Linked DNA regions of Canis lupus familiaris. The protein of the gene in region 3 interacts with the protein of the main gene of each other region in a pairwise test. Links are inferred from orthologs where the notes say so. Each region holds a gene or a part of one and is shown on either strand. Other genes may lie near its edges.

Evidence for each region.
Region 1: the proteins of MGAT5B (region 3) and HOXA1 interact in a two-hybrid assay, tested with the Homo sapiens proteins (2 studies listed by BioGRID). The two-hybrid records come from large-scale screens. The link is inferred for Canis lupus familiaris from reciprocal best matches to the Homo sapiens genes MGAT5B and HOXA1.
Region 2: the proteins of MGAT5B (region 3) and KRTAP26-1 interact in a two-hybrid assay, tested with the Homo sapiens proteins (3 studies listed by BioGRID and IntAct). The two-hybrid records come from large-scale screens. The link is inferred for Canis lupus familiaris from reciprocal best matches to the Homo sapiens genes MGAT5B and KRTAP26-1.

The regions. Positions count from the first base shown.
Region 1 is NC_049235.1:40,362,910-40,366,186, forward strand, and holds the end of HOXA1 (homeobox protein Hox-A1), read right to left. Parts: coding exon 2,655-3,277; intron 2,175-2,654; coding exon 1,819-2,174; 3' UTR 652-1,818; downstream 1-651. UniProt on the Homo sapiens protein: Sequence-specific transcription factor. Regulates multiple developmental processes including brainstem, inner and outer ear, abducens nerve and cardiovascular development and morphogenesis as well as cognition and behavior.
Region 2 is NC_049252.1:25,723,029-25,725,642, forward strand, and holds KRTAP26-1 (keratin-associated protein 26-1), read right to left. Parts: upstream 1,315-2,614; 5' UTR 1,289-1,314; coding exon 719-1,288; 3' UTR 505-718; downstream 1-504. UniProt on the Homo sapiens protein: In the hair cortex, hair keratin intermediate filaments are embedded in an interfilamentous matrix, consisting of hair keratin-associated proteins (KRTAP), which are essential for the formation of a rigid and resistant hair shaft through their extensive disulfide bond cross-linking with abundant cysteine residues of hair keratins.
Region 3 is NC_049230.1:4,786,478-4,789,220, forward strand, and holds part of MGAT5B (alpha-1,6-mannosylglycoprotein 6-beta-N-acetylglucosaminyltransferase B), read right to left. Parts: intron 1,545-2,743; coding exon 1,470-1,544; intron 294-1,469; coding exon 37-293; intron 1-36. UniProt on the Homo sapiens protein: Glycosyltransferase that acts on alpha-linked mannose of N-glycans and O-mannosyl glycans.

The DNA.
Region 1 (3,277 bases), on a different chromosome or scaffold from region 3:
AGGAGGGCCTGTAGAGAGTGGCAGGAAGGGAAGGGTACTGACAGGAGGGACAGGAGGAGAGAGGCAAGGGTTTCCTGAAAACAGACCATACTCGATTTAGAGGATGGAATATACTGGAACACTGCCTGACAAGCAGAAAAAGAAGAGGGTTAAAGTGGAGGCCTTGCCCTCAAACAGCTTTATACTGGAGCTCATTAAATGTGAATCCCTTAGCTCTTGGTTCACTGATGTGAGGAAAGACGGACTGAAGAGTTTGGGCTTTTGAAGGGCGTTCTGTTTATACATACGTCAACATTCAGTTGGAGGTGAAAAGGTTAGCACTTGACCCAGGAAGTATCCATGTTTCTTTCAAAAATAGATCTGCCTTATAAATTTCTTCACCATCCATTTTTTTCCATTATGAACTTGGATTATAATAAAGGAACTATTGTTATTTTAAACAAAGTCAACCTATTAAATAGGCATTCGCTAGGTGCCATGACACTCACAGGGGAAGTTTCAGCTACATAATGGAAAGCCATTTACTTTTTTTTCAAGGAAAGGCCCACCTCTGAAAGTGCACACCACCCTTCCCCAGCAACCATGTGAAATGAGCCAATCTTGTTGGAACCAACAAATTGCAGCCAAGCCAAATACAGGGATGCTTAAGCATATGTGAAACTTGAATATATTTATTACAGACATCTTAAGACCCGTAAACTCTGCTCTGGATCACATTACTCCAGGATCACAGAGCTGTTCATGATTGTACAGGAAAGGGGGAATATCATAGACTCACAAAGAATAACTGATATAACTCAGTGTGGTACTTCAGGGACATGAAAACATTGTGCGACATGCAAAAGACTATTCACGAATCACACAAAATATACATTCATTGTGCCATCCATCACATTAACAAGTGAGCTGAAAATACATCATATCCAGCAAAGATAACTGTGGAAGGAAGAAGCTGGCTTGAATAATACCTTTAGGTTCTGAATAACCCAGCACAAATTTTAAATAGAGTGTGGCCAGAGAAACAATAAATGGGGTGGGGATGGGGAGAGACTTAGCACAGGAAGCAAGGTTTTCGAACCTTGTGTTTTTTAGGTCTTCCTAACTCACCAAAAGAACAAATGCAGGCTACCCTCTGAGGCATCTGACTGAGTTTAAGTAAGCAATTTTATTCTTTAACCTATAATCACATATAAAATTGTACCAGCTTTGAGTTACCCACCCTGTTTTAATCACTTAATCTAAACATTTCTAGAAAATCTGTATAAAGATAAATCTCTCAGGACAAAGTATTTACAACCAGCAAACACACACATGAAATTGAATTAAATTAAGGGATGAATTAATTGTGTAAACACGCTCATAGTGCATCTCTTCTTTATGAGCTCCTGGACTCTCCTTTCTCTCTATCCTACTTTAAGGGCAAAGTAGGGGAGAACTGTTAATATACAGATAGGTAAAAGATAGGCCTCCCTCTGACATGTTTCTGCTGGCAAAGGAGACTATATTCCAAAGGACATCTAAAAGGAACAGATTCTGTGGAAATCTTCCAAAAGTAGGGAGGGGTGTTGGGAGCCGTCAAAAAATTGATTATGGCACCTAATCTGCATCAAGGAGTTAGCACACACACACACCTCAATCAAGCCTCTAATCTAGAATTCTCTGGAAACACACTGTTCTGGCCAGGAGCTCCCCAGATAGGATCAGAAAGGAAGAGAGAGACTGTAAATGGAAGGGAAGATAAGCTAAGAATGTGCTTTGGGTAAGAAGTCCCCAGCCCTCAGAGTAGCCTGGGTTGCGGAGTCTGGGGCTGGGTGGGCCTCAGTGGGAGGTAGTCAGAGTGTCTGAGGTAGAAGACCCCGGAGACGGAATGCAGGGCGAGGAGCTGGATTTCTCTGAAGATTCCTCCGCCTTCTCCTCACTTCCTGGCGGGGTGGCAGGGGAGATGGGCAAAAGGCCCTCTTTCTCTCGTTTCTTCTGCTTCATCCGGCGGTTCTGGAACCAGATCTTCACCTGGGTCTCGTTGAGCTGCAGGGATGCTGCGATCTCCACCCTGCGGGCGCGGGTCAGATACTTATTGAAGTGGAACTCCTTTTCCAGCTCGGTGAGCTGCTTGGTGGTGAAGTTGGTACGCACTGCATTCGGTTGACCCACGTAGCCGTACTCTCCAACTTTCCCTGGGGACATGGTGGGGAGCGATGAGAGAGAAAGATAAAAATTTTTACCGTCCATATGAGATCCCCTATATGCTTCAGAGCAACATTCAGGTAAAGGGGAGATCAAGAATTTCTCAACAGAAACTGGGCTGGGAAAGGAGACTGATGAGGTGTAAAGTGTTAATCTGAAGTCAACCATTTGCATGGTCAGACTGGTGATTAATGGAGCCTGGAGATATTAACAGAACCACCCCCCAACCACCACACAAACACACACCCCTACCCACTTCCTACTCCAGAACCTCTAAAACTCAGCCTCTTGGGAAACACAACACTCCCAGATGCTCCTTTGCCCCGATACACCTGGGCACTCTCTCCACACCCTACAACACCGGTGGGAAGAAGCAAGAACTTTTCTTGAGTATTAATTTTCCTTGGCAACTAAGCAAACTAGCTCCTTCCAGAACCATCAAGGAACATCCAAAGAATGGCAAGACTGACCTGTTTTGGGAGGGTTTCTTTTGACTTTCATCCAGTCAAAGGTCTGTGCTGGAGAAGAGGTCTCTGATGTAGGGGAGCGACAGGCTTCTTGGTGGCTGGCGTGGAGAGGGGACAAGGAGTTATTATACGTGGCCAGGGCCAGGCTCTGGTGCTCTTGTCCATATGAGTGGTGAATGTACTGAGGCGAGCCCACCGCGCCCCCGGCATAACCCTGGTGGTGGTGGTGATGCTGGACCATGGGAGATGAGAGATTTCCAGAGTAAGCTGCGGGAGCGCACGAGGGGTACCCACCACTTACTTCTGCTTCCTGATTTAATGCGTAAGGGCTGTAAGGCGCGCCGAAGTTCTGCGCGCCATAGCTTGGACCACAACTCGAATGGGAGTAGGACACCCCCAGGTTCCCGGGAGTCTGGTAGGTGGCCGCTTGGGGGTGGTGATGGTGGTGGTGGTGGTGGGGCGGGCTGATCTGCACCCCCCTGCCCACTAGGAAGCGGTCGTCGCCGCCACAGCTGTTAGCACTGACCGCGCACGACTGGAAAGTTGTAATTCCATGGTCGGAAGGGTAGGCTCGCGCTGAGCAGGTCCCTGAGTCGCCACCGCTGAGGATGGGGTATTCCAGGAAG
Region 2 (2,614 bases), on a different chromosome or scaffold from region 3:
TAAGTCAGAATTGCAGAAGTTTAGTTTGGCAACATTGAGAAAGGGATGAAGCCAGAGAGATGGCATGGAGGAACACAATGAGGGAAAACAATGTCATGGTCAGGGGTTTGCAATTTTATAGGAATAAGAGCATAGGAACCCATCAAAGGCTTTCGTAGCAGGGGAACAGAATTCAGTTTGCAATGAGAAAGGACATTTTGGTGGAAGTATGTTTATTGGATGGGAGAGAAAAGGAAAATGTTCCTAATCTTGCCTTCTTAAAGTTACTTCCACCAAGGGCTTTTGGGGTGTCTTAAGTATGTAGGATCAGAGATCTAGAAAGAAGTTTGAGGAATAAACCACTAAGCCATTCCCCTACTGTCAGACAAGAACATATGGTTGCATATCCCATGTCTTATTCATGCGCACAGTTGAGGTTGGTCATTTCTGTGTTCAAATGAAATAATGAAAGACAAACTGAAGAACCAGATTCTTAATTCTGACTTAATCTCATTTATTGCAACATGAACCAAATAAATTCTTCCCACACCTGAGTGACAATGAACAGCATTGTAAATCAAATAATTTTATGCCAAAGAGCGATAAAAAGAAAAGATAAAAATATGAAAGGAGGAGCACAAATTACGTCAGGCAGAGTAAAAAGCAAGAAAGGGCACTACTAGGAAAGAAGCAAAAGTCCACAGTTTGAATTTTTTGTCCCAGATCCTTAGCATGATTATTAACTGGAACAAGGAAGCCACTGCCCTCCCAGAGCAGAGCAAGATGGACGGCAAGTGCTGTACACATGGTTCAGAGGTTGGGATCCACTGAAGACAGGACGCAGAGGTCTGAGGCTGCTGGGTACAATGCTCAGTGTTTGAGGACCACAGGGCAAAGAACCCAAGGGGCGGCATCCATAAGTGAAGAGGCTCAGGGGTCGGCCACTGTTGGACACACAGGTCAGAGGTCTAAAGGATACGGGGAGGCAGGAGCCAGAGACGTAGGAAACAGCAGGAAGAAAAGTGGTTCCTTGGCAGGGTCTGGACACGTAGTAAGTAGTAGAAGGGTAGCAAGATGTTTCACAGTTGTTGGGCTCACAGTGGCCTGGCTGACAGCTGGTTGATTCACTGCAGGTCTCCTGGCAGTTGTCCAGAGGCTGGGGATGGTCTTGACAGTTAGTAGGCAAGCAGACGACATCACCACAGCTCACATGGGTAGAGCAGAGGGCCACGGAGGAGGTGAGAGGAATATGGCAGGGATTTCTGAGAGATCCCAAGCTGTAGTTGGCAGAGCAGTTGTGGCAAGACATAGTGAGGTTTCAAAAGCAGGCTCTCGTTGAATGGAAAGAAGTGAGTGTCCCCCCTCATTTAACTTGATCCCTTATATATCCCTGGAAGGTGGTGATTGGGAACGCAGACTCTCTTCCTCCTTGTTGTAGGAAGCTGCATCAGCACTCTCTATTATAGCCCTGAAAGGGGAGCTCCCACCTCCCATAAACCTGGATGTTCCTTCTATGGATTAAGTATATCTATAAAGAAGTGTGACTGAATTTTAATAGGATCTCTCCTTAAAATATCCAATCAAAACAGGTATGTCTGAAGGTCATTCATGTAATCCAAGTATAACCACCACTATGTAAACGTTCTTAGAATTCCTGTCTTGGAATTCCCTTTAAAAGTTGTAGCAAAACTCTCCGGGAGAAAAAAAAAAAAAAAGGCGTAGCAAAATTCTTTGAAACAGTGGCAAATTCTTTCTCTTTGAGGGGAAATTCTATTCTTTTTGGAAATCGCCAATAGTAAGAAACTTGAATACAAGTATTTTGTAAAAGGATGTGGAAAATCTATAACCTAAAGATGTGGAAGATCTATAACCTAAATGATTTGGGGCAGAAAAAGTTTAAAAGCGGTATAACACAGAAAATGTCAATGTGCCTAAATTTATGCTTTGCTTTATTTTTAGAATCCTGGTGGAAATGGCTTCCTACCAAAATATTTTTATTTTAAAAAGCGATACTCATTTTATGCATTTCAATAAACAGAGTCATGCTGAAAAGCTTGGTTTATGTTTAAAGTATTCTTACTATAGAAAAATAAGATGATTTCAGTTGAAAATATAAATACTACTGTGAACAACAGCAAGTAAACAACACCCCTCAAAGAAAGTTGAACAGCATGACATTTTTTTTTAATAGTTAGTATAGGTTTATATATTTCATGCTTACTCATGTTCCTAACAAAAACTAATGTTCTTGATAGAATAAAAAAAGAAGAAAGAAATGATGATTAGGACCTGGAAATGGGTTTGGTTTTGCTTCTTACATTGGTTCTGATGTCAATTTCCAAAAAAAAATAGCTTCTAAACTGCTTTACATGGGAAATAACATCATATATATATATGAAATCATCATATATATAGCATTAGTGCTTTCAAGGCTATTTGGGAATATATTTTCCTGTAAAAATTGGTTTAAAAATGCTTCATTGTATTTAGCTTCATCCATTCCACTGTATTTTTATATATCAACATATCTAGTGGCTCTAGTGACTACTTTAACAGGAATTTTAATTGCCTTGCTTGATCTACTTTCCAATTCCCTTTAGCTAAAAATTCAATGTAAATCACAATTTCTTCCATT
Region 3 (2,743 bases):
CCAGGAGGTGGGCGGGCGGGCGGGGGGCTCACTTACTTCTGGAAGGCGTCCTGGCTGTTGAGGAAGGGGAAGAAGGACGGCTCGCAAATCAGCCCATGGTCCAGGCAGGCGTCGGTGCAGGCCCTCCCGGCGGTGGCCAGCCAGGCCCGGAGGGAGTGTGCTGGGGGCCAGGCCCCGGGGGCCACGCTGGCATTCTGGGCCCACTCCAGGTGGGTGGCATTGGGGGCCAGGACGAAGGGGCTCTGTGGGGCTCGGGCCCCTCCTGGGGCAGGGCCGGGGGCTGCACAGAAGTCCTGGCCGGCGGGGAGTGGGGGGTGGGGGGGAAGCAGCATTAGACGGGGAAATGGGACCCAGATGCCACCGGCTGACACTTGGGCGCATGGCCTTGCCACCACAGCAGCCACACCACCTGGGGAGCTCCCTGAACGCCAGGCAGACTTCCACACGTTATGTCATTTATGCCTGGAGGCAGCCCCAGCAGAAGTGTCCTAACACGTCCCCCGCTATTTTATGGGGCTCAGAGAGGTCACGGGCCCTGTGCTGGCCTCACAGCTGGATGGCAGGGGCCAGCCTGGATGCCGACCCCCCTGCACCGCCTCACTGCTGGTCACACTTCAGCTGGGCTCAGAGTTTCCGCCCTGAGGCTCATGTGCCCTACCTGCGGTGGGGCTGGGGGGGTAGGGGGGCTGGGGCTGACCAGAGGGGCGCTCCTCGCCGGGGTCAGCTCCAGGGGCCTGCAGGGCCCGACAAATGTTTCCGTGAGCCTCATGGTGACATCCCTGTGGGAGGCAGGGGGCTGAGAGTCCCGGGCTCTCAGTATTCCTGTCCGTAAAGCTAATGATCTAGAACCTCTCTCCAGCCCAGACACAGGCCACATGTGCTCCGTCTGAGTATCAAGTAGTTATAAAGCACCTTACACCCAGTCCCGTGGCCCAGCCGGGCCCTGCCACTCCCGGCCACCCACCCCAGAAACCCGGAGCCTGGAAGGCCACCGCCAGCCCTCGGGAGGCTCAGATCCCCTGCTTCTCCAGCAGCCCCGTCCCCTGGGTTCTCAGCAGAGTCCTCTTCCCTGGGGGTGGGATGGGGGTGGACGCCTTCTGTACCTGCCACTCAATCAGGTATCAAACTTTCAAGCAAGTTCTTTATCAAAATAAAAATAACGGTCCGTGCTTCTGTGTGGTGGTAGGGGGCTGGGCTCTAGAGCTGGTGACCCCAGGGGCCCCCAGGCCTGGACTCGGAGCAGGAGAAGAGCAGGATACCCCTGCATCTCCCAACTCCCCCCCGCCCCCAGCATCTGCAGGAAAAGGAAACTGAGAGGAGCAGGAGCAGGAGTTTACGGGGCACAGAGCCCTGCATGGAGAGAGCTTCCCCAGACAATGGAGCTGGCTAGACCCCCTCCTCTGGTCTGATGGGGTTTGGGGTAGTCCCCACCCCCCATCCCTGGGGCAGAGAGCGGAGGGCCCACCTACTTGGTGCTGGATGTAGGCGTGGATTCGCTCCAGCATCCCCTCACAGGTGTACTCGTAGGGCAGGTAGGGGTCTACCTGTGGGAGAGACGGGCAGACACATGGGGCAGGAGGAGCCCCGGGCCCCACTAGGCCTGGCTGCTGGGGGCCGGCCAGGCTCAGCATTGGGGGGCAGAAATCTGCTGTGCCCAGGGAGCCCACCACCCCATCTACCTGGCCCTCCACTCAGATCTCCGGTGACCCCTCCCGTGGTACTGGAGGTGGCCCCACTCCCTCCGCCCCTTCCCAGCTGCACAGCTCCCATCCCCATCCCCTCCTGGGCTCTGACGCCTGCTCTTCCCATAGCCAAGCCAGATGGATCCACCCTCCCCTCTTGGGTGACACCTCCTCCAGGAAGCGGTCCCTGAGCCCCAGCCCCACCCGTGACAGGACCACTTTCCTTGGTGGCACCTGAGAATTCCTCCATCATCATTTCTGATTTCTCCCTCGTGTCTCTCAGGTTACAGGTCCCTTGAGAACTGGACTAGGACTTGTCCACCATCGAGTCCACCGCCTGGCATAGTGCCTGTATACAGTAGGTGCTCAGGAAACAGCACCTCCAGCTCTGTCCGCACTCTGCCCAGAACATAGAATGTTCACGAAAAGGAACACAGGGGCAGCTCCCGGTCAGATGGAATGAGACGGATCTGTAAGGCTTCCTGCCCAGGCCAGGCACCTGGGAACTATGGAGGGCACCTGCACCCAGGGGAGGCCACAGGCCATCTGTCTAAATAGCCAACGGTTACAAAGCACCCGCACGGGGGTGTGGCTGGGAGCAGACGGGGTGAGGAGCAAGGGGAATGGGGAGAAGCCTGAAAGGGGGTGCCCACCTCCTGTGGGGGGGTACCGCACCTCCTCTCCACTCTTCTAACCTGACCAAACCCGCTCCTTTTACCCCGCCTAGCACACAGCCCCTCAGAGGAAACTGAGGGCTGGGGGGGGCAGTGTGGATGACCCGTCCCAGACACACACGGGCCTTCGACCTCCCTTGTCCCGTGTGTGTGCAAGTGTGTGTACATGTGTGTATATGACATATTGTATGTATGCGTGTCTGTTGTGTGCATGTGCGTGCTGTACATATATATGTGTGTACAAGTGTGTGCACCGCATGCACATGAGCATATATGATGTATGTATGCATGCATTTTGTGTATATGTGTGTGTTGTGTATATGTATGTGCTGTGTGCTATGCATGTGCAAGTGTGCACATGTGTACACGTGCATATGATGTATGTAT